Linked DNA regions of Danio rerio. The protein of the gene in region 4 binds, or shares a complex with, the protein of the main gene of each other region. Links are inferred from orthologs where the notes say so. Each region holds a gene or a part of one and is shown on either strand. Other genes may lie near its edges.

What was found.
Region 1: polr2eb (region 4) and gtf2e2 share a complex: the UniProt entries of both Homo sapiens proteins name them as parts of the TBP-based Pol II pre-initiation complex. The link is inferred for Danio rerio from reciprocal best matches to the Homo sapiens genes POLR2E and GTF2E2.
Region 2: polr2eb (region 4) and taf1c share a complex: the UniProt entries of both Homo sapiens proteins name them as parts of the pol I pre-initiation complex. The link is inferred for Danio rerio from reciprocal best matches to the Homo sapiens genes POLR2E and TAF1C.
Region 3: polr2eb (region 4) and taf1b share a complex: the UniProt entries of both Homo sapiens proteins name them as parts of the pol I pre-initiation complex. The link is inferred for Danio rerio from reciprocal best matches to the Homo sapiens genes POLR2E and TAF1B.
Region 5: polr2eb (region 4) and uxt share a complex: the UniProt entries of both Homo sapiens proteins name them as parts of the PAQosome complex. The link is inferred for Danio rerio from reciprocal best matches to the Homo sapiens genes POLR2E and UXT.
Region 6: polr2eb (region 4) and taf1a share a complex: the UniProt entries of both Homo sapiens proteins name them as parts of the pol I pre-initiation complex. The link is inferred for Danio rerio from reciprocal best matches to the Homo sapiens genes POLR2E and TAF1A.
Region 7: polr2eb (region 4) and gtf2f1 share a complex: the UniProt entries of both Homo sapiens proteins name them as parts of the TBP-based Pol II pre-initiation complex. The link is inferred for Danio rerio from reciprocal best matches to the Homo sapiens genes POLR2E and GTF2F1.

What each region holds. Positions count from the first base shown.
Region 1 is NC_133176.1:24,433,473-24,438,042, forward strand, and holds the start of gtf2e2 (transcription initiation factor IIE subunit beta), read left to right. Parts: upstream 1-1,513; 5' UTR 1,514-1,654; intron 1,655-4,570. UniProt on the Homo sapiens protein: Recruits TFIIH to the initiation complex and stimulates the RNA polymerase II C-terminal domain kinase and DNA-dependent ATPase activities of TFIIH. Both TFIIH and TFIIE are required for promoter clearance by RNA polymerase.
Region 2 is NC_133196.1:7,081,502-7,085,513, reverse strand, and holds part of taf1c (TATA box-binding protein-associated factor RNA polymerase I subunit C), read left to right. Parts: intron 1-906; coding exon 907-978; intron 979-3,429; coding exon 3,430-3,565; intron 3,566-4,012. UniProt on the Homo sapiens protein: Component of the transcription factor SL1/TIF-IB complex, which is involved in the assembly of the PIC (pre-initiation complex) during RNA polymerase I-dependent transcription.
Region 3 is NC_133195.1:32,286,118-32,290,751, forward strand, and holds the start of taf1b (TATA box-binding protein-associated factor RNA polymerase I subunit B), read right to left. Parts: upstream 2,951-4,634; 5' UTR 2,858-2,950; coding exon of another isoform or gene 2,840-2,857; intron 2,753-2,839; coding exon of another isoform or gene 2,654-2,752; intron 556-2,653; coding exon of another isoform or gene 468-555; intron 363-467; coding exon of another isoform or gene 265-362; 5' UTR 30-264; coding exon 1-29. UniProt on the Homo sapiens protein: Component of RNA polymerase I core factor complex that acts as a GTF2B/TFIIB-like factor and plays a key role in multiple steps during transcription initiation such as pre-initiation complex (PIC) assembly and postpolymerase recruitment events in polymerase I (Pol I) transcription.
Region 4 is NC_133197.1:17,299,158-17,303,824, reverse strand, and holds the start of polr2eb (DNA-directed RNA polymerases I, II, and III subunit RPABC1), read right to left. Parts: upstream 3,256-4,667; 5' UTR 3,165-3,255; coding exon 3,108-3,164; intron 2,947-3,107; coding exon 2,772-2,946; intron 2,396-2,771; coding exon 2,280-2,395; intron 2,187-2,279; coding exon 2,106-2,186; intron 950-2,105; coding exon 891-949; intron 745-890; coding exon 666-744; intron 585-665; coding exon 519-584; 3' UTR 514-518; intron 1-513. UniProt on the Homo sapiens protein: DNA-dependent RNA polymerase catalyzes the transcription of DNA into RNA using the four ribonucleoside triphosphates as substrates.
Region 5 is NC_133183.1:10,252,837-10,257,408, forward strand, and holds the start of uxt (protein UXT), read left to right. Parts: upstream 1-1,504; 5' UTR 1,505-1,722; coding exon 1,723-1,805; intron 1,806-3,804; coding exon 3,805-3,886; intron 3,887-4,069; coding exon 4,070-4,137; intron 4,138-4,229; coding exon 4,230-4,337; intron 4,338-4,572. Other genes in the region: zgc:86609 (ER membrane protein complex subunit 3-like), read right to left, coding at 707-861. UniProt on the Homo sapiens protein: Involved in gene transcription regulation. Acts in concert with the corepressor URI1 to regulate androgen receptor AR-mediated transcription. Together with URI1, associates with chromatin to the NKX3-1 promoter region.
Region 6 is NC_133195.1:55,114,689-55,118,700, reverse strand, and holds part of taf1a (TATA box-binding protein-associated factor RNA polymerase I subunit A), read right to left. Parts: intron 2,721-4,012; coding exon of another isoform or gene 2,594-2,720; exon of another isoform or gene 2,554-2,593; intron 1,313-2,553; exon of another isoform or gene 1,192-1,312; 5' UTR 1,163-1,191; coding exon 1,039-1,162; intron 1-1,038. Other genes in the region: mia3 (transport and Golgi organization protein 1 homolog), read left to right, coding at 2,594-2,720. UniProt on the Homo sapiens protein: Component of the transcription factor SL1/TIF-IB complex, which is involved in the assembly of the PIC (pre-initiation complex) during RNA polymerase I-dependent transcription.
Region 7 is NC_133178.1:32,749,188-32,751,932, reverse strand, and holds the end of gtf2f1 (general transcription factor IIF subunit 1), read left to right. Parts: intron 1-1,315; coding exon 1,316-1,520; 3' UTR 1,521-2,028; downstream 2,029-2,745. Other genes in the region: alkbh7 (alpha-ketoglutarate-dependent dioxygenase alkB homolog 7, mitochondrial), read right to left, coding at 2,330-2,450, 2,582-2,706. UniProt on the Homo sapiens protein: TFIIF is a general transcription initiation factor that binds to RNA polymerase II and helps to recruit it to the initiation complex in collaboration with TFIIB. It promotes transcription elongation.

The DNA.
Region 1 (4,570 bases), on a different chromosome or scaffold from region 4:
ATTCAGTCATGAGCAGAAAGAAAATGCACAACATAAAATGTATTTTAGGATATGATATCATAATATGAAACTTAAATAAATCAAATTGATTTCCTCTGTAACAAATAATAGACTGTGAACCCAAAAGGGTCTATTAGATAAAAAATTATATGTATATATTATATTTATAATGGCTAATAATTCTGACTTTAACTAATATAAAATGAACCCGTGGATATATATCCATGCTTTTATGCTAAACAACCAAAATTGATGCAATGAACAAACTTTTTTATGTCAGTTAAACTACCTGGGAATTGAACCCATGACACTGGAATTGCTTAAAATAAGCTTGTTAGATAAATTTATTTGATTGATTTTCATATATTATATTAATACATTATACTTTTAAAGAAACCAAAAGTTAATGTTATACATTTATGCGCTTCTTGATATAATTACATATTCAATTTTAGTTTTTAAAGAGTTAAATTGTTGGAATGTGCTAGTTGCAGGAATAATGTGCTGACAAAAAGTTGAGTATATGATCAATTGAATTCTACCAAACAGATTGTTTTTTTTTTTTTTTTACAAGAATGAAAGACAATGATTCATCATCTGTTTGTATGCCTGTATAAAAACTGGCCCTGTAAGACTGCTCTCTGAGCAACCAGGATGGAACCTGTATTTCTTCTGTATTAGTCCCTTGCTGCAAGAACATCTAGGAAAATGAATCTTCCTGAGCCTTGTAATAATTTTTGACCCTGACAAGCTTGACTGTCATCGGAAATAATTTCCTTCTTACCTGGTTGGCTTGCTCAGTGAAGGACTCAGTCATTTTAACTGTAACATTGGCATTGGCTTCTTCATTGGCACTGAGATCAATAGAGGCAACCCACTGAAAACCACAAACACAAACATGTTCCTTATTGACATATTACAGGCCAGAAGAAATGCATGAATCGATATAGTTAATGAGAAACACATAACATTGTTTTGAGTAAATTAATTATTAATAGTACTACTAAAACACGTGAAGCGTGTCTGATGACACTGAAAGGGGGGGAAATAGTTATTTTCAATAATGTGTCTTGTCTTCTGGGTTTATACAACTTACCCAGTGTTTAGCTTTGAAATACTGCACACATGCCGAGCCCAGAGCTCCTTTTCCCCCGTAAACAATCACTTTCTGTGCATCTGTAGCTGCCATTCTGTCTTCACGAGCACGAGACCGTGTTATGCAAAGAAATCAGAACATGCGCCTCCTACTGGAAAAGATGAGAAGAGCACACATAATTGTATTAGGATGGGTTGCGTATGGGTATAAGCTTAAAATAGACTTACCTTTTTTTAAAAATAATGTTTTTCGAGATTAATGTTTGAAAATAATCCATTAATGCTAATAAATATAAATGGGAACATCGCAACACATGTAAAACGATTTCTGACCAGCAGGTGGCAAAGGTCGTCTTTGCAAACTGCGCGACTACAAACAAAGAAGAAGAACACTTGTCTTCCGGAGGAAATACATGTAGTTGTATAGCATAGCTAGCGTTCTATGACAAGCTTTTCATTTTGCTTTGTCAGTAAGCTGATTGCGTATGATAATTGGAAATAATATTTAACATTCCTCAAAACTCTTTCTCTCGGAGAGAGAAGGCAGTGACAGATTCAGGTAACGTAATGCTCACAGTTTCTTTCTTTGTGGATGTATTGCTTCATGTTTGATGTGTTTAGGATGTTTCCAGTTGATACCATTTGTGATTTTAGACGATTAGTTAAGTTTCTAGGTGTTAGATGTTCACTGTGCAGTTCACTATGGAAGTATTAGCTGTCAATAAGTAGGCTTATAAATCTCAGTATGTTAGACGAGGCTAAACCTCCAACTGACCTCATAGATCTCAACATGAGCAATGTGCTTTAATATCTAAGTTAAATATGAGGAATAAAATTAACATCTGTCTATATGTGTGTCTATAAATGAAACACCAAATGTCCTTAAAATCTTTGAAAAGTGTTACATTTATTAGTGGAGACTGAATTAATAGCAGCCCCTGTTATCTAAACATACATGGGGGGAAAACTGATCACATAATCATTTACTGTAATCTATAGAAGTTAATAATAGTAATGATTAAGAAATATAAGGAACATATCACGTGCTATAGAGGTAAAGTCGGTTTTTTATTCGCACATTCGGACTTCCTCCTTAATATAATTTCATAAAAGTACTATTTGCAAACTCTAAATAGCGAAATCATATTAGCAGCCAATGATTATCAAAGTACATGTTCACAGTCAAATAAACAGTGTTCAAGTTTTCAAATTACACTTGCAGTTTATTTCAGACTGAATATTCAAGGTGCCGTGGTAAACAATGTAGGGAGTGTGTCACAAATTGCCACTGAATGAATGTGTAAATATAAAACCAAGTTTACCTTAATATATATGCTGTGGCTATATAATATGTTCATTTAAAAGTTATTGTTTAATTGAGCACTCATTCGTGGTTTTGTTTTCTTAGGTTTCATCAGTGGTGGAAAGACTACTGAAAAAATATACTCAAGTAAAAGTATCATTACTTGACCAAAGAAATGTAGTGCAAGTAGAGTAAAAATATCTGTTGTAAATATTAAATATGAGTAAAAAGTAGTCCTTTTAAATGTCCTCAAGAGTAGTGAGTATTACGCTGTTAAAAGCTGATGTATTTACCGGTACATGTAATTTGTAAATGTGTGTGTGTGTGTGTGTGAGAAAACATAACATTCTGTAGTGCATTTAGTGACAGTTTAACCAGTTAAATTCCATGGAAAGTGGTTTTGTTTGAAAGTGTAGAAGCTATATTTTATGCACATATGCATCACTTTGGTTTTTATTCTACTGTAAAAAAGTTATTTACACTTAATATCATCTCAAAAACATAGCAAGAATCAGATGCTTTGTTTCTAGTGAAGACTTAGAGAAACTTGTTCATGCTTTTATCAGCAGCAGGGTGGATTACTGTAATGGACTCCTCACTGGTCTTCCTAAAAAGACAGTCAGACAGTTGCAGCTCATCCAGAACGCTGCAGCCAGAATTCTAACCAGAACCAGGAAATCAGAGCACATCACACCTGTCCTCAGGTCTCTACACTGGCTGCCAGTTACATTCAGAATAGAGTTTAAAGTATTATTACTGGTCTATAAATCACTAAATGGCCTAGGACCTAAATACATCACAGATATGCTCACTGAATACAAACCTAACAGATCACTCAGATCATTAGGATCATATAAACTAGAAGTTCCAAGAGTTCAGTCAAAGCAGGGTGAATCGGCTTTTAGCCACTATGCCCCTCGCTGCTGGAATCAGCTTCCAGAAATGATCAGATGTGCTCCAACATTAGGCACATTCAAATCAAGACTGAAAACACATCTGTTTAGCTGTGCCTTTACTGAATGAGCACTGTGCTGCGTCCGACAGATTGCACTGTCGGACACAGATCATGTTTTTCTCTTCTTCTTCATTCTTTTATATCACATTTTACCTGTTTTTATGTTTTTTAATCAGTTTTATTATTTGTTTTTATTTTTATTTTTATTTTACTTGTTTCTTTTATTCTTGTTTATGTAAAGCACTTTGAATTGCCATTGTGTATGAAATGTGCTATATAAATAAACTTGCCTTGCCTTAAACATTGGTTCAATTTCATATTTTTCACAAGATTCATATATGACACAGGTACAAGTTATAGCTCAAATTAAATCTCTTGTCCGTGCTCATGAGGTTATAGCGTTCTTTTTAGTGAATTATATTCACATCAAACAGTTTTCGAATAAATCGCGGTATTTCCATGGCCCAGAAGTGAAAACAATACATTCATGATCAATAAGCAGCTCCAGATAGCACAGACAGCGGTCATCTCTTACCTTATGCTTTTTAGGGCCTTTCTCCTCTGTTTTTGAGGTGATGTGCATAAGTAATCCTTTTATATGTCCGACGTGGTCCAAACACAGTGAATTATGTTTGATCAAACAGAAGAATAGAGAAATATGAATACAATGATCGATCCCTGTGGCTTGTATAGCACCTCTCATCAGTTGGAATACAATAACTTTTTCATAGATTATGGTAAAGAGAGACATTTTTCTTTTTTTCCATGATTACAGACATGTGCAGGAACCACCAAAATTAATTTACTGCAACCTAGACCACACAGAACCTAAAAGGTACACTTTCAAATTTGAGTTTATAAAAAAAATACAAAAAGCAAATTTTTTTTTTTTTTTAGGTGTTTATTATAACACAGAAAACATTTATTACAGTTATTTTAAACACTTTTAAAGTGTTTCCTTTAAAATGACACCAAATTTTTGCATTTACACCTCTGCATGTGGATTTGGGTAGCTTTTAAATTTGGGTAGGCAAAATCCAGGCAGAAATCCCAAAATAGCACTGGAGTTTAAGTGGTTAAGGCCATTTCAGTCATCATGCATTCGGCATCTGTCATCATCTCATCAGTGACATGCAGTCTAAATATGCAGTCTCTGGGTCATTGCATGCAGAGTATATTCTTGGACACTTTTAATGCTTCTAAACAGTTTGCTTCAT
Region 2 (4,012 bases), on a different chromosome or scaffold from region 4:
TCGGCTGGTGGAACGCACAACATTTTTTTAAACTTGAGCGAACAGTTCTCGTAGTAGTACAGTACTACGAGTAGAACAGTTGTAGAACAGTAGTGAAAGTGTGTATGAACACTGAAATGATTCAATAATATTAGCGATATGACTTCAATGTTTATCTGTTGGACAAACTTTAGGCCTTAAAAAGTCTTAAGTCTTCTGACTTATTGTGTTGTAGGTTATACATCTTTTTTTTTAACAGGTTTTAATTTTCCTTTGTTCATGTATACCATTCTGGCCCTTAACACATGTACAATCACCAACAATCCCAATCTCAATAAAACGCTTAATTTTCTAATATGAAAATAGCATTTAATTTCTTTCCGTACAGTAACACTTGTTTAAAAGTTTTGCATTTATTTACTTCTGAAGATACTGACCTGACCAATAGTTTTTTATTATCAAAATATTATTATGATTGTATTGTTAAATGTATTAAATTATAATAATTTTTAAATAGGGCAAGTTAAAAGTCTTCTCCAACTGTGGTATCACAAATATCCTTAGCATTTAGCCCTGTATAAGCCTAAAATTGAATTCACTATGGTCTTAAAAATGTCTTTAAAAGGTCTTAATTTAACTTGGTGAAACCGGCAGAACCCCTGCTTTAGACCTATGCCGTTATTCGGTTAATGAATGTGTTTGGGATTGATATCATGGGAGCTTCAAAATATTCTGGATAATTATTTATTATTTAACGTGTGCTTATTAGGAGTATACACATTGTATTTGCAGTGGATTTTTGTATTTGCACCATTTTAGCCATTGCAACTCTATTCTAAATATGAGTTAAATATAAAAGATAAATACAAAAATGAGTTAAAATGATAATAAAATAACTTGTATGTATGAATGTGTTGTCTTTTACAGTCCACACTTACCAGGTGAGATTGTAGTTGCCAATGAGCAAGGAGCAGCGTATTTGTGGACTCCCAAAAAAGGGTAAGTGTGTGTGTGTGTGTGTGTGTGTGTGTGTGTGTGTGTGTGTGTGTGTGTGTGTGTGTGTGTGTGTGAGTGTGTGTGTGTGAGTGAGTGAGAGAGAACAATATGTGCTTGACTGTTATCTTGTGCCTAGAGCTCAGTGTACAAAACTCCAACATCTTCATCAAATCCACTACAAAAGGTTCTTTAGATGAGTTTGTCCAGTACCTAAGCTTATAGTAATGTTTTAATAAGATTAGTTTTAGATATTAGAACAGCTTGACCAGAAAACCTTATTTGTTATGTTAAATTCAAGTTTCAAAGCATTTACTATAATTAAGAATTCTCTTACACAGTGGTTCTCAAACTCTTTTTCACCAAGTACCACCTCAGAAAAAAATTGTCTCTCCAATTACCACCATAATGAGCAGTATTGAAATTCATAGCGTAGTAGGTCCAGCAAAGCAGCCACAGCTCTGCACAGTTTAAAACATGGCAAATTAATTCCTATTATTAATGATATTTATTATTATCGACCACTTTAAAGATTATAAATAGTTTGAACATTAACAATGTGCTTTTTAAAAGTTAATAAGAATGGTAGGCTACTGGTTTTACAAAGTAAAATAAAAAAACTCCTGTACTAAAATGTAAAGTATTAACATATAATATCCGATTCATCAAAACCTGTAAATGTTTCTTTATGAATATAGGCTATTCAACACCATATTGATATATGAACCATTTTTGATAAAATGTGAAATGTATGTAGCATGTACAAATGACATTTGATTCCTCTGCGTACCACTAGAAGCAAGCCCGCATACCACTAATGGTAAACGTACCACAGTTTAGGAACCAACGCTCTAACACTTTGATAGCTGCATATTTTTATATACTGAGATTATACTTTTTTCACCATTTTATCATATTTTCAGGTATTTAATGTTGATTTATTGTCACATAAATCAGTGTTATTTTAGTATAATTTAGTTTAGTAAATTATTCATTGTTTGAACATTTAGTTTGTTTAATCTTCAGTACTTGTTTGTGTTGTTGTGTTTTAGTTCTGATTGTTTTTGTACAATTTTTATTTCAAATTGAACCTTTATTGAGTGAATTATTAGTTATACTTATTTTGGGTTTGAGGATGAGGTTTTGTTCTGTTTTCATGCCCTTGTTTTGGTTTTATTTTAATTAACTAAACAGTTTTGGTGTAGGTCAGTAATAAAACTGGGCAGTTCTTCCAGAATTTTGCGAGTTCAATGGATCTTGAGATTATTAAAAAAATATTTTAAAAGATTTCTGTGTATTTTCACAGAAAAAACAGAATTTTAGTAAGTTTTGAGAAAAACATCACAAATCCCATTTTAGGCTGCAAACAAACACGCACATCTATATTTATATATGACTGTGATTGGCCTTGAAGGTCACTTCATTTACCAAACCGTTTAGTGAGTGTAACCACAGATACAGGGACACTGGAGCGTTTTAAAGCTGTAAAGTTCAGCTGGTCTGTTTATAAGCTGACATACAAGAGATCCCCTGATGAATTGACTGATCATCACGGCTTTAAAACGCTCCAGTGTCCCTGTATCTGTGGTTGCACTCTGTAATCAGTGGTGAGTTTGGTGAAATGATGACCTTCACGGCCAATCACAGTCATTTCTGTTGAGCATGTGAACAAAATGACAAATCAGCGATGTTTAAGAATGAGCTCAACAGCGCTCAAATGTTAGCGGGAAATGGACGTTTTTAAAATTACAGTACCAATTGGCATCGAATTCCAGTATTGAGACAACCCTAAAATATATATGATGTCCCTGCAAAATCCTGGAGGCACTGCCAGAAAATATTTAATTAATTTTGACTTAAAAATACAGATAATTTTATATTTGACACTTGCGTTATTTTTATTTGTATATTTTATCTTCTGTGCTATATTAAACAGCCAGTGCAAATGTCAAGATTTTCTGTGAAAGATTTAAATTTGTGTTTTTTTTCTTTGTTAAATAAAATCATCGTATAACTTTATAAGATATGCATAACAGTGCAGAATTTGTTTGAATAACAGTTGTGTTATTTTAAGTGTGCTTTCTGAAACGTGAAAAAACCCAGACTATTAAAAAAAATCTAAATTTCAACCTGTCATTTCATGTAGAATCAGTAAGGAACTGCTGTATTTGGGAAAAGTCATTTATTATAAACACAAGAACAACCAAATATCGATGATTCCCACAAATTATATGTAATTTCCTTATTGCATTCATAACAACCGTACATCATGCATGAATCTTCAGCAAGTTCCTCCATCAACAGCTTCAGAGAACAGTTTTCACTCTTAAACTGAAGTTTATGATTAATCAAACCTGTTTTTTTGCAGTAAGAATAAGCTGTAGTTCTGTAAATGAGCTGATGTAACCTGCACCACATGATGCAGCGTGTGAATGTTGTAACTCTGTTCTCTTCCAGATTGCAGAAGTTTCGTGAAGAAGATGCCAACCTGTACTTTAATGCCAAGTCGCCGTGGCGATGGTGTGATTTCTCCTGCCACCCGAGAGTGTTGGTCTATGCTGACAGAACAGGGGCGGAGCTTACAGACATACGGGTAAAGACTGAAATATCACTGAATAAAACCTGCTTATAGATGTTATAATGTTTTTTTTTTCCAGAGACAATGCACATTCTATAATTACAGAAAGGTATAATGTGCCAGAATTATCCCAAAGGCTTTTTTCCCCCTCTGTAGTGACTGGAATGATGCTAAAATAGTCACCCTAAATATATTAAACAGTTATTTAATTTATAATAATTACAAGCTTCAAAATACATATACATTTTTCATCATTCCTAAATAATGATTCTCTAAAAATAGACTGACTTTTTATGTCGAGGTCAGACTGCATGATTTTGGCCCCGATTTTGACTCGCCAACAAGTTTAGAGAAATCGCAGACAAATGTGTGAAATCACAGGCAAATCACTGCTTGTTCACGTGAGTAACAGTCACACAGAGTGAACCTTCAAAGACACCATCTGAGAGAATCGACGATGAG
Region 3 (4,634 bases), on a different chromosome or scaffold from region 4:
TGTTTATTAGTGTCGATTGCAAGTGACATGACAGGAGAGTCCTTTTTGGGTTTAACCTGTAAAATGATCCTACAAGTCGCACTGTTTATACATTATATTTTACACTTGCACCCACAAAAAAAAAAACCTCTACAATAAAGTAAAACAAATTATACAGAAAATTACATAATTACATAAGAGATCAATGTACCAAATATAAAATCTAACAACATAAGAATACTGTGCAAACTACTTAATTTGATTCAGTAAACGAAGAGCACTAACCTCAAACTTCATACAAACACCTAGACTGACCAAAGCCTTGGCCTGGTGTTTGAGGATGAACTGAAATCCCTCACAGACCAACCACTCCCTTTCAGAATCTGAAAACAGACATAAGAGGCGTCAGGTTCAATTTTTCATTTTAGCACAATATCCTGTTAGAAATGATCAACAAGAATAAAAACAGTAAGTAAAGCTGGACTGACCATGTTTTTTCTTCTTGGGTTTCCTGACTATTGAGATCCTGCCATGCTTATGATGAAGGCTGGTAACATCCTCTACCTCCCTTATTTTCTAGAAGATGTTAAAACAAGCAACATGCTTTAGGTGTGTAAAGCTTATAACATCATGCCATTAAGATGAGACACTGTAGACAAAACAGTCATCATAAAGTGTTTCTTTTATAGCACTATAAATTTGTGCCTGCAGATTTCTATTATATTACACGTTTTCAGATGCTGTTTTTTTTTAAAAATTGGTTTTGTTCTCCTGAAATGAGCCATAAAGCTTCTTCAGCAAGTCTTACACCAAACGTTTTTGTTTTGTTTGTCAGTTTAAAGGTGCAGGAGGTAATCTGCCAAAATGCTATCCGTTAGCATATCTTAGAAAACCCCAGCCATCCCAAGCCAGGACTCCTGAAATCATGAACGCGCAGCTTAAAGTTGACAGCAGACAATCACTAGATTGTGTCATTTGCCAGTTAGAAAACTTTATAGTACTTATAAAACTACAATTCCGAACGACATACTGTATTATATATCTAGCACATTTTCAGTTCTGTCGCAAGCAAAACTTGTCATGATGTACAATATTTAATGCATGCAAGGATCGCTGGTCTCACTCTTTCACACGATTTGTCCTACAGCGACTACTGTATGCTTAGTGGTTGGCCGGTGGCATGCAGGAATTACACTTATTACTAAGCCATATTTACATGCTATTTCAGGCTGAATATTCAGCGTAGCATGGTAAACAATATAGGAGCACTTCACAGATTGTGAGTAGCCCCTTTCACACAGTGATACCGGTAAATATCCGGAAAATTTCCGGAACGACTTTACCGGTATATTCAAAAAAGCCCTGTTCACACAGGTAAGGACGTTACGGAAATTTTCCGGAAAAGAGCATTCACACATCCATTCCAAAATACCGGTAAATTCTGACATCATTCACCACAAATGAGCTTTAAACGGCTGCGCTTGTGTTTGTAAACATTTGACTAAATTACAAACTCTGTGGATGATCAATATTGTGAACAACTTTCGCAGGATCACTTTCGCATGTCGAGATGTTCATAATATCTGCGTGTGCAGGCGCTCACAGGCTGTTTCACAGGCACACGCAAAGCTTGAAGGTAAACAAACAACGGCTTATCATAAGCATCTCATCGATGATTATTTACACAGTTGGCATTAAGAAGAACATATAAACGTGATCTGACTAACTTCTAGCAGCTAAATGTGTCTGGAAAAATATTCAAAGGCTTTTATTCTCACAAACCCCGCGGACGTAAATGCGTCTGACTGTTGTGATTGGCTAAAGCAGACGTCTCACGTCAGCACGTTCTAGACGTGCACGCGCTTATTACGGGAATCTTCCTTCTGCATTCACACAGCGCAGCATTCCGGCAAATTGCCGGTAATGTTACAACTTCTCTTTCCGGAAAATAGCCAGAACGAATTTACCGGTATTTTCAAAAAGGACCTGCCGGAAAATTGCCGCCAATTTTCCGGAAAGGTCTGTATGTGTGAAAGGGGCTAGTGTTAAACAATGAACCAATGTGATTATAAAACTAACTTCAGCTCAGTAGAGCAGGCTGGGCAGAAAAGCGCTATTTACTGATGTTTTTTTTTTTTTGTTAAACTAAATAAAAATCTACATTATCGATGCTGTAAAAGGTCCCTTATGCAATTGAAATTAGTCACATCAATCGTTTGCCTGAAGATTCGGCTGAACAACACTTCTGTGCATGTAACCCATTCATAAAACCTGCATAAGCTTTACGTGACTAAAATACTATTTTAGTTTTCATAAAATGAAAAGTTTTCATTTATGTCTGCTTTCAATAAAAATAAATCAATCAACCGGGGGAGTATGATAATAATTAGTAATATTTATTTACCCAACTCCTGCTTTAATTAGCTTTTTGTTTAATGATTTTTTTTAAATTAATTAACCAATCATTAAATTAAATGTTAATATAACTATTAAAGTCAGCAGCATAATGAAAATCAGCAGAAAAGTGAGTAAATTATAATACATACGACAACTTCATACCTGTCCATGCATTTAAACAAGCTCATAGGAATTGGAAGAACTATACATATGTAAAAAAAAAGTGATTTCTGTCTATGTATTAATGTACTATATATTAAAATATCTATTAACCCACCTCGATGACATTGTGGCAGCTCTTACAGAAGAACTGACCCTCGTCTGACACTCCCCAGTCCACAGCAGCGCACTGTCCGCATGGCTCACTATATCCACCCTGGAGAAACAGCACCGCAGCTCACAGAGTATAACGAATTTCCACATAACACTGCAGACTGACAAAATACACACTAGAGATACTTACAGTAATTTGTTCGTCCATGGTGTAAACGTAAGCTGAACTTCAAAACATGAGACAATTTTTGTTTTCTGTTTTCAGCGTGAGCATACTCGCTTTCAACATGGCCGACTATACGTTTTTCATAATAAAAGTCACTCGTTTGTTCAGCGTAATATTTTACAGTAGGCCCTGGCCCACTGATCTAGAACCCTTTGGTAGGGCTATTTCATTTTACTATATTGTGTAATATGTATATGTGCATGTTAATTACAATTTTGATGTTTATTTTTTTCTTCGTTTACAGTATAACTCAACTCATTTACACGTATAATTTTAAACATCTATTTTATTAATGAAATGTAATTATATTGTATAAATATATGTGAATCAAAATAATAATAATAATAATAATAATAATTCATACTTCAAGTTTAGATAACAAGGCATAGCCCCCAATTTGCACATTGCCACATTGTAGGAATTATATTATCCCATATAATTATTTTATGTATTTGCTCTATATTATGTTGTTAAACATTTATATTGTCTGGAATGTAACTAAATTATTTTTAGGCTTGACAGATAAGTAATAATAATAATAATAATAATAATAATAAAGTATTGACTCTATCATGAATTCTCTATTAACTTATCTTGGATACATAAATTGCGATTCATAATTATTTTTATATAGAAATTATACATTTATTTTACTTGTTTTATTGTAAATGCATGTCTCTCCTGCAAAACAAAGATGTGTCACAGTCAATGGACAGTAGATGGCGCAAAAATCCATAGCTAGATAAAACTGACAGTAAATGGTGGTAGGCTACTCATTACCTGGATTACAATCAGCCTGCTTGAGTCAGAATTTCTATTGTTATTCTTTAATAAATTATAACAAATAGTAGGCAAATACAAAATAGTGTTCATATTCTCGTTTGCTCATCATGACCTTTCTATTGTTTGTTGTTAAAAACCCTAGCAAATTTAAGATGCCTCATATTTAACATTTAAACTATAAATATATAAAGTTCCAGTTAATGCAATTGTGGCTTAAATGTGCAATGTAACAAAAATAAAATAAATTGTGCCCATCAACAATGCTTCCTTTCCTCCTCCCCACCTCTTTGAAGAAAAGCTGCTTCTTTCACCACTGGGCCAATTTCATGGTTTACTGCCTCCCATGCGTTTCCTCGTGTTCTCTATGCAAAACACAGCATTGTTGGCAATGGAAATCAGGAACAGTCAGTAACTGCAGGTGTGGGTTTTGTTCTTCACACTGAAACAGCGGATTGCTCTCCCTACAGTGTGGCACGTTTTACATCCCCACTTGTCCTCCACAGACGCCGCATAGCGTGGATAGAGATTGTGGGAGGCTGTGGGCGAAAAGGGAAAATTATACAGAGTCTAGCTCACTTGCTTATCTGGTATATAAATATTACATGCACTCTCTGCCTTTCCCATCACGACTCTGCTGCTTCCTGCTGTTCACGGCACCTGAAGTTGGCTAAAAGGAAACAGGCACTTTCCTTGAGCTGCTCAAGACTGAGAAGAGAGACCTTATCTGTGATTAAACCATAAAATTAAATAATATATAAAAACGCTCAAGACATGTTGATGACCGTGGAGTCAATCAATCGATTGAGAGAAGTGAACAAGTTTAGAAAAGTTTGATAAATTCTCAGACATTTCTTTGTTATTTAAACCTAATTAGGCTTTACTTAAGGAATCATTGATGATAATAAAATGGGGAATCATCCTGTGGATTAGTTTAGGACTAGCTTCTTTGACATCTCTTTAAAAGCCTTTTGATTTT
Region 4 (4,667 bases):
GGTTCCAAAAATCTTTCACTTATGGATGGAGGCTACTGTGCTCATCTTAACTTTTAGAGCAACAGAAATTCTGTAACCCTCCCCAGCCTTGTGCCCCAAGACAATTCCGTCTCAGAGATCTACAGACAAGTCCTTTGTTTTCATGCTTGGTTTCTGCTTTGACATGCATTGTCAATGCTGGGACCTTATATAGACAGGTGTGTGCCTTTTCAAATCATGTCCAATCAACTGCATTTACAACAGGTGAACTCCAATTAAGCTGCTGAAACATCTTAAGAATGATCAGTGGAAACAATGTACCAGAGCTCAATTTAGAGCTTTACAGCAAAGGCTGTGAATACTTGTGTACTTTTTATTTTCAATAAAATCTTTTTTCACACTGTCATTGTGGGGTGCTGTGTGTAGAGGATGGAAAAAATGAATTTAACCCATTTTGGAATAAGGCTGTAACATAGAAAGATGTGGAAAAAGTGAAGCGCTTTATTTAAAGGTTAATAAAAGACAAGAGCTCACCAACATTACTGGACCAATCTGTATGTGATGTATCGGCCAGCCGTTTCACTCGGTCTGATGATCTTAACAACCTGAAAAACACACACAAATTCACAAACTATCAGCTGATTGCGGTCAATCAAAATGAGCTAAAAATTGGGCTGATTTCCTACCTGGCCTCTTTTTAAGCCAAAGTAACGTGCAACGGGATCCCCAGCTTGAATTCTGGGAAGTTGGCTTTCCTTTAGCTTACTGGAGAAGCGCTGGTTAAGGTGACCTACATGTACTGTGAACTATCCAACTGGAGTTAAACATATATAATACACAAAGTTGAGCTAAACCATAGAAATATGAAAATAACACTGCTGTAAACTTAAGCATCTTTCATGAAAGGATACTACCGCGCCAGCAACTCAGTCACTTCTTCTTTTGTCATAACTATGTGCTCTGGAACAAGCTGAAATACATGAAACCATAGTTATTGCAAAGGATAATTAGATAAAAGTGTTAAGCATCTTAAAAAAGTGCTCAAAACAAAAATGATGAATATATTAATTATCAAGAAAAAAAAAGGTGCCCAAACTCGGCACTGCAGAGTTTGGCTCCAACCCCTGAACCAGCTAATCGAGCTCTTACTAGCTCTACTAGAAACTTCCAGGCATGAGTGCAGAAGCAAGTTGGATCTAAACCATCTAAGACTGAGTTTGGGCATCTCTGATCAAGAGAAACAAGATTTTCTTCACAAAGAACCAAATTATACAGTGGAATTCAATGGATCATTCTTCAATGGGCAATATGAACAGCTAGTGTTTTTAAACCAACAGTAAAAGGTTTTTGTGACTATTTATAAGGTTGCTTTTACAACATCGTAATGTAATTGAAATACAATCCCTTAAATAAACTTAAGCATTCATTTAGTAGTTCAAGCATAAAATGAGATAATAGACTGTGTAACTGCTAGCGCTGTCAATGGCAGCAGGCTAGCGCAGAAACTCCATTCAAAATACTGAGGTAAAATAATTTAACACACCGCTTTATAGCACTTTATATCATGTATGTGTGTGTGTGTGTATATATATATATATATATATATATATATATATATATATATATATATATATATATATATATATATATATATATATATATATATATATATAAGGCACCGGAAACCATATTAAAAGTCTGTGTGCATATAGCCCATTGTGTTCAAAAGAAGAAAGAAACTTCAACGCTAGAAACTAGTGGACGGAGATTAAATGATGTCAGAAGAGTTATTTCTGTGTAAACTGGCTTTTTAAGTTAGGAGATTCTGATTGGCTGTGGATTTTTTTATTGTTCATCAGCTAAAAATATAATAGTTCTCCGAATGTGATTTTGGACTAACAGTAAGTGATACAACATTAAGGTGCTTTTTTCCACCAGTGAATTAAAAACCGTGCAGCCATTGACTTCCTTAACGGGAACAAAAATACTACAGCAGGTCAATGGCTGCTGCTTTCCAACATTGTTGTCAACAGAAGAAATAAACTCAAACAGTTTTGGAACAAGGGTGAGTACATGATGACAGAATTTTCACTTTTTGGGTGAGCTATAACTTTAAGTCTCCTCACCTCGTGTTCTGTAATGTTGATTAGAAGCTCCTGCTGAAGAAACTGCTCCAGTATGTACTTTGGTGCCATGTCGACCAGAGACTGAAATGTGACAGAGAGAGATAAAAAAACGTATTTATCTTGTAAAGTGCTCGACATTAGAACTGTAAACATTAGTAAATGTGCGAGTTGCACCTGTTTGGCGGAGGGTGTCATGCCCATCTGTACTACAATGATGGCGCGGGTGATGTTTTCCTCCTGCATGCGCTGGCAATACATCTTTATGGTTTTGATGCCAACCTTTGGTTCCTCTGAAAGCAAAATTGAAGTTTCAATATATTTAAACTCTTTAACGTAAATACAAAATTGATCAACCACTCCACTGAGGTAAAGCTGGTTTCACGTTTGTCCATTTTTACCATGATGCTTTGAATATTCAGTCTGCAATCGCATGGAAGTATGACTTTAAAACAACATTAGCCCTATTTGACTATTTAATTAACAGTGATGTATTTGATAGTAGCTGGCTGCTAATATGATTTCCCTGTTTAGAATTAGCATAGAATACTTTTCTGAAATTATATTATTAAGGAGATTGTCCGAATATAAAACCAACTTCACCTAATAACCACTCCTTGTTATCTCGGACTAGTTAAATAAATAGGGCTGCTGCGGAATAAAACATACCCGGGAAGAACACAAACATCTGGTCGGTCGGGTCGTCATTGTGGGCCACCAGGACTGTCAGGTCATTTCGTCGTGGTCGACCCTCGCTCGGTTTATCTCCAAACTGACTCCTGAATTCATCAAGAGTCTGGTCCAATTCATCCTGCGTCACCAAATATCCGCGATCGTGACAAAGCTGTTGGTTAAATATCAACATTGTTATTACATCATGTTATTTCTGTTATTTAAATGTGTATGGTTTTATAAAAGACATGAAATCCATTCAATAGTAAACCGGAACAAGCATCACTAAACTGTGCGAAACGTTATAAATAAAGCATATATGTCTTTCTTTACCTGCATTATAGTTTTTCTAATTTTCCATAGTCTGTATGTCTCTTCCTCGTCATCCATACTGCGCTATAAATATGATTAATACCAAATTTTGACGATCAAAACAATCCGCTAATGTGATGCTTCTTCTCCACGTTTGTTTCCCGTTGCTGGCGCGAGTAAATGACGTCAGACGTTACGCCACAGCGTAGATACAATGCGCAGCTTTAAAAAAAAAAAAAAAAAAAAAAACAATGCGCAGCTTTATTTCGTACAAAAAACAGTGCGCGTTGCTTAGAAGTATCACAACTTCTAAGCAATATCACAGCTATTGCTTTCTTTAAATACTGATTTTGTTTTATGTAAACGAACAAGGAAGGAAAGAGAGTTGTATAGCATTTGAGAAGTGCGTAGGGTTTGAATCGTTTGAATATAGATTCAATCGAACAGTTCAAATATCCGGTGTCAAGGCGATTCAGTGATTCATTTTGACCATAGAGCGTCGTCCCCAGCGTTTTAGGAAATGTTACAGGGTTAAAAAAATACATTAGCAATTATTCCAGAGGATTTTGATTGAGTAGATTTACGTCAATTACATTTATTGTAACGTTATGTCTGCTTGTGTTCAAAAGTTAACAAAATCGATTAGAACAATTAATAAATTGTTTTGAAAAAGGGTTTACAAAAGGATAACGATCATTAATTTTGTCTTATTGTAACCCACCTATGAAATTGATTTACTGAAAAGGGGAAAATTATCTACTGGGTCTGAGCTTTCTAAAGTATATATGAAATTTCAACACAATTTACTTGAAATCTCGGGTTCGGGATATCTCAACTTAACGACACAATATATTATTGAATGGTGTGGTCAAATTTTACATATTATTAATACTATAATCTCCAACTGCTCAAATAAAAAAAAATAAAAAAACCCAAACACAAGAAAATACTTTTGAGTTTGCTGTATTGCAAATTTTCTGGTCTGTATCTGAACTGCTTTTCAGCCCTTATAAAAACATACTCATGTATTCAAAACAAACAAAATTAAATAAATAAAATACAATATGTTGACAGCAATTCAGCCCTTTTTGAAAAAAAAATAAAACTATACAGAAGTAGGAAAATACAGTTTCAGTTGTCTAAACGTCCCAATTTCAACATATATTTATATATATGAAACTTCAAAGTCCTGAATGTAATGTAAAACGTAGTTCAATGACTGTGAATCAGTGTATGTGTTTCCTACGAAAATCCTTGACGATTGAGTGATGACATGCGTCCATCCAAATTGGGAGAAATCCTCACGGAGTGAATGTAACGAGCCACTCCCCTTGCCTGCACGAGTCCAATGCGGCCGCGGCGCGATGGAACAGTCCAGTGTCAGTTAGCTAATGCAGCAAAACAATTTGGGACATTAATTTTATGCAGAATTGGCAGGATGGATTAAATTAGAAGACAGCCAAAACGTGTCTCTCCTGTCTTCACCACAAGCTGGCGTACAAGTGACGTCAGTCACCCTCTTCATATAACTTCACAACTTCACATAACATTGCTAACTTCAACTAAGAGCATTTTCACAAA
Region 5 (4,572 bases), on a different chromosome or scaffold from region 4:
CTTTGATGTAGAGGCTGAAGTATGAGAAGGAGCGCTATCCTGCTGAAAAATTTGCCCTCTCCTGTGGTTTGTAATGTAATCTGCAGCACAAATGTCTTGATACCTCAGGCTGTTGATGTTGCCATCCACTCTGCAGATCTCTTGCACGCCCCCGAACTGAATCTAACCCCAAAACATGATTTTTTCTTTACCAAACTTGACTGATTTCTGTGAGAATCTTGAGTCCATGCGGGTTCCAATAGGTCTTCTGCAGTACTTGTGATGCAGTTCAACAGATGACTCATCAAAAAAAAAAAATCTACCTTTTGCCACTTTTCCAAATGATCAACTAGTTGTCAAGTTATTATTTGTTGCTCTTACAACTGGGATTGACAACAAGACTTTTGTCGGGCAGTGTAGAACAAGAATCATTTGATGACATTGTACTGAAATATCAGTGCAGCCCCCAAAATTAATTGATTTGTTAATTAGTCAGGTTTTATAAAAATTCTGAACTTAGGATTTCTCATAGTTAATTACACATGTTTATTTATTCATATAAAGGGTACTTGGAATATTTCTACACTACTTACTCAGCAATCAGAACTGATTTTATTTTAATTCTGAACGTAACAGATTGATTGATGTTGTTTCTGAACTCCAGATAGTGATTATTGTTGTTTAATGTATCTGTTTATATCTAAACACCTGTATTTTTGATTCTCACCTGTCAGACACCTGCTGCAGATCCACTTTCTTCTCATTATGGATGAGTTTAGTGATGTAATGCCGCAAAACTCCGACGAAGAATGTGATGAAGACTATGGGCAAAACAACCCAAAGGCGAATACTGGAGTCTAGCAGCAGCTCTGGACCTGCCATTTCTATGCTGACTGAAATCGAACTATAAACACTGACACTTCTAAAGTTTTTTTAAATGAATATTCAATTCTGGAATTAATACTACGATGAAAAGTCAAACGGTGGTGTAACTACATAACTTTTAGACACATTTCTGTATGAACATGCGCCATTTGAGCAGCTGCCGTATGACCTTTGAACTAGTAGCGATTCAAACACGAGTCGTTTTGATGAGTCGGATCTTTGAAATGAATTGTTCGAATCGTCTTACACCGGTTTAGGTGGTTTGTGCACGAAATGAACACTCTGAACCGAGTCTATTTTGTACCGAGTCACTTTAAAACTTGACAGTTTTTATTCGCAGACATAGTAAATACAGATATTTTATGAAATTGGGTATATATAGCTCTAATAAAATCTTTGAAGCAATCAGGTATTTTAATTAACACGTTTTGAATGAGAAAGAATTTGTTGGAAGTTGCGTCAACGCTTTAAATTATATTGTATTTACAAATATATTTGTCTTATTGAGAGAATTGTTCTAATAGGTAAACATTAATTAAATAAAAACGAAACGTAGATGTTCATTATAGGAAAACTATAAAACAAAAGTTTAGCTAACGCCATTTCCGGTTTAGACCGAGGACGTTTCCGCGTATCTTGTAAACAAGTGTGGAGCCACGTGACAGACCGAAGGAAGGTTTAGCTTCATTTAACGTACTCGATACTTCATATATTTGCTACTACAATATATTAATCTGTCATATGTAAGCTTTAATCGCTGCATCAGCCCAGCGACGTGCTGTTAATGTTTGATGCACATTAATATTAGAAACATCGATTGCTATTAAATAAAACTTCGATCTGTTATCATCTCATATCATGACTTCTGGCACATCTGTTATTAATGACAAAGTCTTGCAGTATGAGACATTCATCAGTGAAGTATTAAGACGAGACCTGCAGTAAGTATCATTTAATATGGATATTTTGCACGTACACGAAGCTGCCATGGTATTAACGTTACCATGCTTGTACGTTAATTCCATACAAATACAGCTCTATGCTAATCTATATTGTTTAAGCTAATCTATTATGAAATGCTACTATGTGTTCTGGAAACATTATGTACGCTTGTCCAAAGTACTTGTTTAAATGAGCTGAATCAACACGATTCTTGAGTTTTTTTTAGCACAACTACATTTTTTTATTTCAGTTTACTTAAATTTGTAAAAACAATAAAGTTAACTTGATCGATTTGTGTTGGGACAAGATGAAGGAATTAATAACCCTGTGGAACCCAGTATAAGGAACACTATAGTACTTTATTGTAATTTTAATGGTGTTTTTAAACAATACTATAGTAAAGTGAATTGTACTATACACACACCAGCCACTTTATTAGGTACACCTTTCAAGTCCCGGGTCGAACCCACTTTTGCCATCAAAACTTTCTTAATCCTTCGTGGCATAGATTCAACAAGGTACTGGAAATACTCCTCGGAGATTTTGGTCAATATTGACATGATAGCATCACGCAGTTGCTGCAGATTTATCGGCTGCACATTCATGATGTGAACCACCAGTTCCACCACATCCCAAAGGTGCTCTATTGGATTGATGTCTGGTGACTGTGGAGGCCATTTGAGTACAGTGAACTTATTGTCATGTTCAAGAAACCAGTCTGAGATGATTTGCGCTTTATGACATGGTGCGTCCTGCTGGAAGTAGCCATCAGAAGATGGGTACACTGTGGTCATTAGGGGTTGACAGCAACAATACTCAGGTAGGCTGTGGTGTTAAATAAATTATCCCCCACACCATTACACCATCACCACCAGCCTGAACAGTTGATGCAAGGCAGGATGGATCCATGCTTTCATGTTGTTGATGCCAAATTCTGACCCTACCATCTGAATGTGGCAGCAGAAATCAAGACTCATCAGACCAGACAACGTTTTTCCAATCTTCTATTGTCCAATTTTGGTGAGCCTGTGTGAATTGTAGCCTCAGTTTGCTTTTTTATCTGACAGCAGTGGCACCAAAGAGTGGTCTTTTACTGCTGAAGCCCATCCGCCTCAAGGTTTGATGTGTTGTGCATTCAGAGATGCTCTTCTGCATACCTCGGTTGTGACGAGTGGTTATTTGAGTTACTGTTGCCTTTCTATCAGCTTGAATCAGTCTGGCCATTCTCCTCTGACCTCTGGCATCAACAAAGCATTTGCACCCACAGAACTTTTTTTTCCCTTTGCACTATTCTCTGTAAACCCTAGAGATGGTTGTGCGTGAAAATTCCATTAGATCAGCAGTTTCTGAAATACTCAGACCAGCCCGTCTGACACCAACAACCATGCCACATTCAAAGCCTCTTAAATCACCTTTCTTCTCCATTCTGATGTTCGGTTTGAGCTGCAGCAGATCCTCTTGACCATGTCTGCATGCCTAAATGCATTGAATTGCTGTCATGTGATTGGCTGAAACTTTCGTTAACGAGCAGTTGGACAGGTGTACCTATTAAAGTGGCCGGTGAGTGTATGTATTATATTATTTAGTATATGTAAGTATATAATAAATATTGTGAACTGTTAAACTGTAATGGTGTGCTTCAGTATTTACTATAGTAAACCCTGTAGTTGTAGAAAACCACAGTATTAGTTGTTTGTTTATAATGCTATAGTTGTGTTAATAACTATAAAGTCACCACAAAATATTAATTCAAGTACTATACTATAATATGATTCAAAATACTATAGTATTTACAATAAATACATTAGTATTTTTTCATGTAAGTTCTTTTTGCTCCACCAGGAAAGTGGTGGAGCAAAAGAGATGCTGTGGATGAGAAAATACGGCAATACCTGCAGCTGAAGAACACAATATAATAAAATATAGTTCAAGAACACTATAGTATTTACCATAAATTACTATAGTATTTTTTCATTTGAGTACTCTCTGCTCTGCCAGGAAAGTGCTGGAGCAAAGAGATGCTGTGTATGAGAAAATCGCACAATACCTGCAGCTGAAGAACACAATACAAAGCATTCAGGTATGTGAGATTTGCATATGTATTTGCATATTTTGTGCTTATTCTTATGTCCTGACTTATTTGTTTTCAGATATAGTTTGTGCTGTGTAAAAAATTTTTACATTTACTATTACTGTCCATCTCAGTTGCTCTCATTCTGCCTTGTGCGCTTTTAATATGTGGCTGTGTTTGATTCACCTTCAGGAAAGCGGCAGCAAAGAACTGAAAACCGATGTTGACCTTGGCTGCAATTTCTATGTGCAGGCTCATGTGTAAGTGTTGTTTGCATGACGTCTGTGGTGCTGTGCGTCAGTGGAGATGTTGAACATTTTTTGAAAGGGCAATCTCATTTCTTTTTTTCCAGACCTGATGCATCAAGAATATATGTGGCAGTCGGATATGGATTCTTTGTCGAATTCACGCACGCAGAGGCTTTGAAGTTCATTGAAAAGAAGACAAATCAGCTCACAGAGTAAGAGGATTTTAGTAGTGCTGTCAAACGATCGAGATTATTTGCATCAAAATTAAAAGTTTATATTTGCTAAATAGATTTTTGTGTCTAAATATACGCATGACTATGACTTTAAATTTATTTATTCATTCGTTTTCATTCGACTTAGTCCCTTTATTCATCAGAGGTCGCCACAGTGGAATGAACCGCCAACTTATCCAGCAAATGTTTTAGACAGTGGATACCCTTCCAGCTG
Region 6 (4,012 bases), on a different chromosome or scaffold from region 4:
ATGCGACTTTATAACTCAGATATGTGACTTTATTACTCGAAATTGTGACTTTACAATATGGAATTGCGACTTTATAACTGGGAATTGCGACTATTACTCAGAATTGTGACTTTATAACTCGGAATTGCGACTTTATAACTCGGAATCGCGAATATTATTTAGAATTGCGACTTTGTAGCTCGAAATTGCGACTTTAACACTCGGAATTGCGACTTTATAACTGGGAATTGCGACTATTACTCAGAATTGTGACTTTATAACTCGGAATTGCGACTTTATCACTAGGAAATGGGACTTTATAACTCGTAATTGCGACTTTATAACTCGGAATTGCGAATATTATTTAGAATTGCGACTTTGTAGCTCGAAATTTAACATTTAAAATTGCGACTTTAACACTCGGAATTGTCTTTTTAACTTTGAATTCTGACTTTATAACTCACAATTCTGACTTTATATCTCAGAATTCTGACTTAACTCAGAATTGCGACTTTATAAATCAAATTGCGACTTTATAACTCAGAATTGCGACCTTATAGCTCAGAATTCTAACTTTATAACTTGCAATTCTGGCTTAACTCGGAATTGCGACTTTATAACTCTGAATTCTGACTATATATCTCAAGGTTTTGACTTAACTTAGAATTTTGACTTTATAATTTGTTTTTACATTGTATTTATTTATTTATTTATTTATTTTTATTCAGAGGCTGGAACGGGCTTCCATACTTTTGTCATCAGAAAGTGTGTCATGAGTAAAATTTGATAGAAATTTGATTTTCCCCGCTTGTTAAGGTAACGTTACATTAAGCCACGTTAAGCTTTTTCCTTTTAATGGACTTCAATGTTGATGTTTTGATGTTTAGGTGCATTAAGCCACTTTAAGTGCTTTAGAATGTCCCTCAGAATCCCAGCTTAATCTCTTATCTTATTTGTGTGCAATAACCCTCCGAATTGCGAAAACAAGTAACTTTACACGCATTCTGGGTGCATTATAATGAATTTAGAGTAAACATGAGGGTGTAAATGAAACTTTACCTCGGTCTTTAACTTGACAGTGAAGCTGGACTGGTCTTTTCAGCCGTTGCCGATGTTCACTTTCATCTTGTGTAAAATCCGCGTGTGTTTCTGCAATGTTGAGCTCAGCTTCGATGTCATCCATTTCTCAGTGCAATACGGCGACTGGCCTTCCTATTCAGATGATGATGATGAACGAGGCATGAAAGAAATATGTTATTATAAACACTATTGACTCACTAAATAGTGCACTTGTGAATTTGTGGACTTCTTTGGACATGTGAGGATGTGAACTAAACTCTTCTTCATAAAAACAAGCGATGATCGTGACCGGGTCATAGCGCCACCTGCAGCACTAGAGGAATGAGAGAAACAATACGAAGGACTCAATCCAGCAACCTTCTTGCAGTGAGGTGAAAGTGCTAACCACTGAGCCACCATGCCTGAAATATTAAATCTTACTATTAATTTGGTAACACTTTATTTGAAATTATAATTCACACTTGAATTAACGATTCACGATTAAACTAAGACTTTTAGCTCAATAATTTATTAATTTGCTGCTTATGGTTCATTAGGTATAGTTTGGTTTATGCATTGATTAGGAATGTAGAATAGGATAATATTTTATAAGTTAATATCTTATATATTCAATCATTCGTTCATTTTCGGCTTAGTCCCTTTATTAATCTGGGGTAGCCACAGCGGAATGAACCACCAACTTATTCAGCATATGTTTCATGCAGCGGATGCCCTTTCAGCTGCAACCCATTTCTGGGAAACATCCACATACACTCATTCACACTCGTACACTATGGACAATTTAGCCTACCCAATTCACCTGTATGACATGTGTTTGGACTGTGAAGGAAACCGGAGCACCCGGAGGAAACCCACACCAATATAGCGAGAACATGCAAACTTCACACAGAAATGCCAACTGACCCAGCTGAGGTTCGAACCAGCGACCTTCTTGCTGTGAGGCGACAGCACTACCAACTGTGCCACTGCGTCGCCTAATGCAGTAGTTAATAGTGTAAATTGTGATTTGAACTAACCATCATTAATTAGTTGACCTTATTAATTGAGGAGCAATTAATTGGTCTTTTTATTTGTTTTCTTATCTCTTTTTTTTGTTTTTGATGTAATCTCAACAAATAAATAGATAAAAATTTAATGAAATCACAATAAAACCAAACAATAAAGAATAGATCAAATGTAAATAATAACTACCTAAATAAAACTTTTTAAAAAATCCAAATAAACACACCAAAACAAATCCAAATAAATAAATAAATAAAAACATAAGCATGCCCCTACACACACTACATAAAATGTATTTATTTTATTTTAGATATTTGTTATTAAATTATATATAGATAAATATATTTTCACAGCACAGTGTAGAGCCAGTGTTCCCCCAGCTGATCTGTGTGGTGTGTTGTTGGTGCTGCTATCTCTTTAAGCGCAGGCTCTGTAACCTGACTCCAGCTTCTCTCCTCCTCACTGAAGCAGCTCAGCTCGCCTCCGGTCTGCTGACGTGTCGGCAGCGGCTCCGCGATCAACAGCTGCCAGCATGGCTGCACCGAATAATCCCCGGTTTTACTCACTTTTTACCCTCCTCCTGTGCTCGTGCTTCGGCGGGAGCTGCTCGGACCGGCGGTTCTCGGAGCTGAAGCGCTGCGCGGATGAAGAATGCAGCAGTGAGTATCTGCAACTTTTCATCTATTCGGGATGCTGGATCATAAAAGTTCTGCGCTGCTGACGTCATAAAGGCCGCATCGGCCGCCGCCGCGGGGAAACTGCAACTTTGTAACATTCTGTGACTTAAAAGAGTTCCATTAGAATGTCGATCCTACATGTGACGTACAGGCGAAAATGACATGAGGGCTGGCGCGTCCTTGAAGATCCAGTGTGCTGATAACAAATGCTGGGTTGTTGAAACCTAATGTTAAAACAAACCAACCGCTGGGTTAAAAGGTGTCAGTTAAATATAATTAGGGGTAAAATAACCTAACATTAGGTTTGTTCATATTTAACTCAAGGTTGGGTTACGAGAACCTAGCAGGTTTGTTTTTTTGAATGTGAGCTCAGTTTAGCTAGTCAAGCTAACAACAACAACAACACAGAGTATTGCATGCGAAATGAGAGCTTTAGTTTGATATTTTATGTGTTTAATATGATGTGAACACCCATTAACAGTGTTAAACACGAGGCCTGGATTTAAATCTCTGTCAAACAGAAGCGATTGGTTTAATGTAAATGGCGTATTTACATACAACCTGCAGAACATGATTCCACTGTGGGTGTTTTGCGCACTGAACCATGTTTTATATCTTCATTACTTAATATTTCCAGAATAGAGTTAAGGATGAATGGTATAATCTCAATATATGAATCAATCTGTATGACTACTTCTAAATTATAGTGAACACTATATTGATTTTGAACCATGTATTATGCAACACTTTTTTAACTACAGTGAACTGATAAACTAATAAATAGTGTAATATACTGTCGTTTTCACTACAGTAAACTGTGTTGTATTGTTGTTTAATAGGTCCTGTAGGTGTAGAATAGTACAGTATTGGGTCATTTGGTCATAGTTGTTGTGTTACCAACAACTACAGAATCACCAAAGCTTATTAATTGTACTTGTTGTACAGTATGTTTTAAAAACACTATACTCTGTAAGAGGCTGGGTGGTTGTAACCTAATGTTAGGTCAAATATGTCCAAACACAACCGCTGGGTTAAAAAAGCCATTTAAATTTAATTGAAAAGAATTAATTACCCACAGTTGGGTTACGACAGCCAACCATTTTTATTTTTTTAATGTGAGCTCAGTTTAGCTAGCTGAGCTAGCAACAACAACAGCAGCAGCAGCATTGAGATTTGTGTATGTGAAACGAGAGCTTTAATGTGTCATTTTATGTGTTCAATATGTTGTGAACACACACTGTAAGCATTAACTGTGTTAAACACGAGGCCTGGAT
Region 7 (2,745 bases), on a different chromosome or scaffold from region 4:
GAAATGTTACACATCAGCGGTAAGCATGAGTGAGAATTGTACGGTTTGCACAGGCCTTTAGCTTTCAAATGTTTATTCTATCCTTCCATCTCTGAGAATTTTACTTGGTTATACTTGCATTAAGCCATGGAGTGCAGAATTAAAGACTGTGAAGTGGCATGATATATTCAACAAAATCAGAATGAGGTTGTTTCAAGTGTTTGAAACAGCTTGCCAAATGAACTTTCTAGAAAACATCTCTTCGGCTAGCACATTTCAGAGCAGCTTCAGTAAAAACTAAAGTAAACCAGCAACACTAGCTATGTTTCCTTCCAAAAATGTGAATTAACTTTATTCGCACACCTTTTATGCGATATTCTAGTTTTGTGCATAAAGCAAAGTTTCCATCCAACAAGTCAAACAAATCAAAATTGTCACTTCCTAATTAACTGGCGTCAAATATCAAAAGTAAAAGGAACTTAATTTCCTGAGGTATGAGAAGCTGTGTGAATCTTTTACTTAATTAAATAAATGACTTGTGCCTCAGAAGATGATGCTGACACGCAGTTAACGCACAGCACAGACACTCTTAGCAGTTCTGGAGGTAATATAATAACACTAATACTGAATTGGTTAGGGTGTTTCAGACTGACCAAAATAACATTTCATGTTTTACAGTGTGCTAAGCCTGCTGGTTTGTCGACTCACACACATCTTTTATCATCACATAATCAAAATCAATGACTTTTTTTAATGCGCATACTAAAATTTGTTTAGTGAAAGTCTTTATACGCATTTTTTCTTATCGAATAAAAAGTTATTTTTATTTAACTCTTTAACTTCTTATCTTGGCGTTTTTTATTTTTGGCGTTTTTTACGTTTTTTATTTTATGTGCATGTTGGATATGCGTATAAATAAAAAAAAAAAGTGGATGGAAACATAGTTACTGACACATTTATTTCACAGTCAGCACTGTAAAGCTGCTTCCGTTTAACCAATAACTTTTGTAAGGGACTAAATAAATGTGAGCTGATTGGAGGGTCAGAGTTACATTGCTATGACTATATTTACACATCCAATTGCTACTCCCAGCAATGTTGGAAATGTTTTGCTGAGTATATTGCTGAATGGAAAAAGCAAAGAATGAAATACTTAGCTTCAATTATATCAAGTCTTTAACAGTATGTCACTGTGTATTAGACCTACTTAATGTAGCAACACATTACACCAACTTTTTCCTTTCAAATTTTCAAAAGCACTGCCAGAGTTACTGACCATTTTAACTCTTGATTATTTCAATATTGTAAATAAAATCCTTTTCTCTCTCCCCTTTAGTGATGTGCTGCTGACAGAGGATGCGGTGCGCAGGTATCTCATCAGAAAGCCCATGACCACTAAAGACCTGCTGAAGAAGTTCCAGACTAAACGCACAGGCCTCAGCAGCGAGCAGACGGTCAATGTGCTCGCGCAGATCTTAAAGAGGCTCAATCCAGAGAGGAAGAACATCAATGACAAGATGCACTTCTACCTCACTGAGTGAAACTCTGAGCATCCATCACCAGCAGCCTCGCCTTCAGGAATGCAGCTCATTTTGGTGAACACCTTCTTTGTTTTGCTGTCATTTTGCTTTTAACAGTCCAGTGTTTATTTACAGTAGTCATTAAACTGCTGCTCATTGAGTTAAAGCTGAGAATACCGGAGGTCAAGAGTAAAATGACAAAGAAACGTTGCAAAGAAAGATAGCACAGTGAGTTTTTGTATATTGTAGATATGGGAAATGTGTGTTTGTAAATTTCACATTTATGCATCTTAATGAGAAGCTGGTTAATGTTTTTCCAAGAAAGAAATTAAATAAGGACTCAGAAAATGTGAAGATGTGGCTTTTATTACACACTCATTTGTTCTCATAGATTTTTTTTTTAACTGGCTTAACATTGTGCTGATTTTAAAAAAAAAAACTGTAAAAGGTACCACATTTTGCTGGCGCTTGCCCTTCGTAGTATGTTAAATCTGTTCTGAAATAAATACCTATTTGTTTTTATTTGAAATTTGATGCTCTCTATGCAATAATGATTTATTATTTGAGAGGAAAGTTAATAATGGATACAAAAATTGACATTGTACATAGAAGCAGTTGACTGGTCTCATCTTTTTTCATACTCCATTTATATGATAAATTACATGAATCTGATCTATTCCCTTCATAAATTCTCCAGAGGCTTTAGTTCCCCCCAAATAGTCTCTTTTTTGTGGTTATTCAAGGAAAAATACATCAGACTGAAAATTGAATCAACAGAGGTCTATTTGGTTTTCAAGACAGGTGCTATGATCAGTCCAGCCTCAGTTGTTTTACATGGGCAGGTTTCGGCATATCACAGAGATGCGGCGATGACGTGGAACCTTCTGTCCAGAGAAAAAGGACTCTTCATCTTTTAAGATTTCATGGGTGAATTTAAATCGTGCATCATCCCTGTTGATTTAAAGTAGTAGTGTTTTAGAGGTAAAATTACTTCATATTCTATGATAACAGAAATTTTATTTAGTTCTCTTATAACTTGAGAAATTTTGGGGGGTGGGGATAATAAATATGTAAATATTTACCGTAATATATAAAGTGAGCGCCGACTTAGAAGCAAATCCACCCGATCTGTGGTATTGTTTTCCGGGACCAGTCGCATTATACTATCGGACAACAAGCTCAGCCCTGCAATGGTGCTTCCACAGAACTGACAGGACAAATGACATGGAATGATGAACATGTAGGT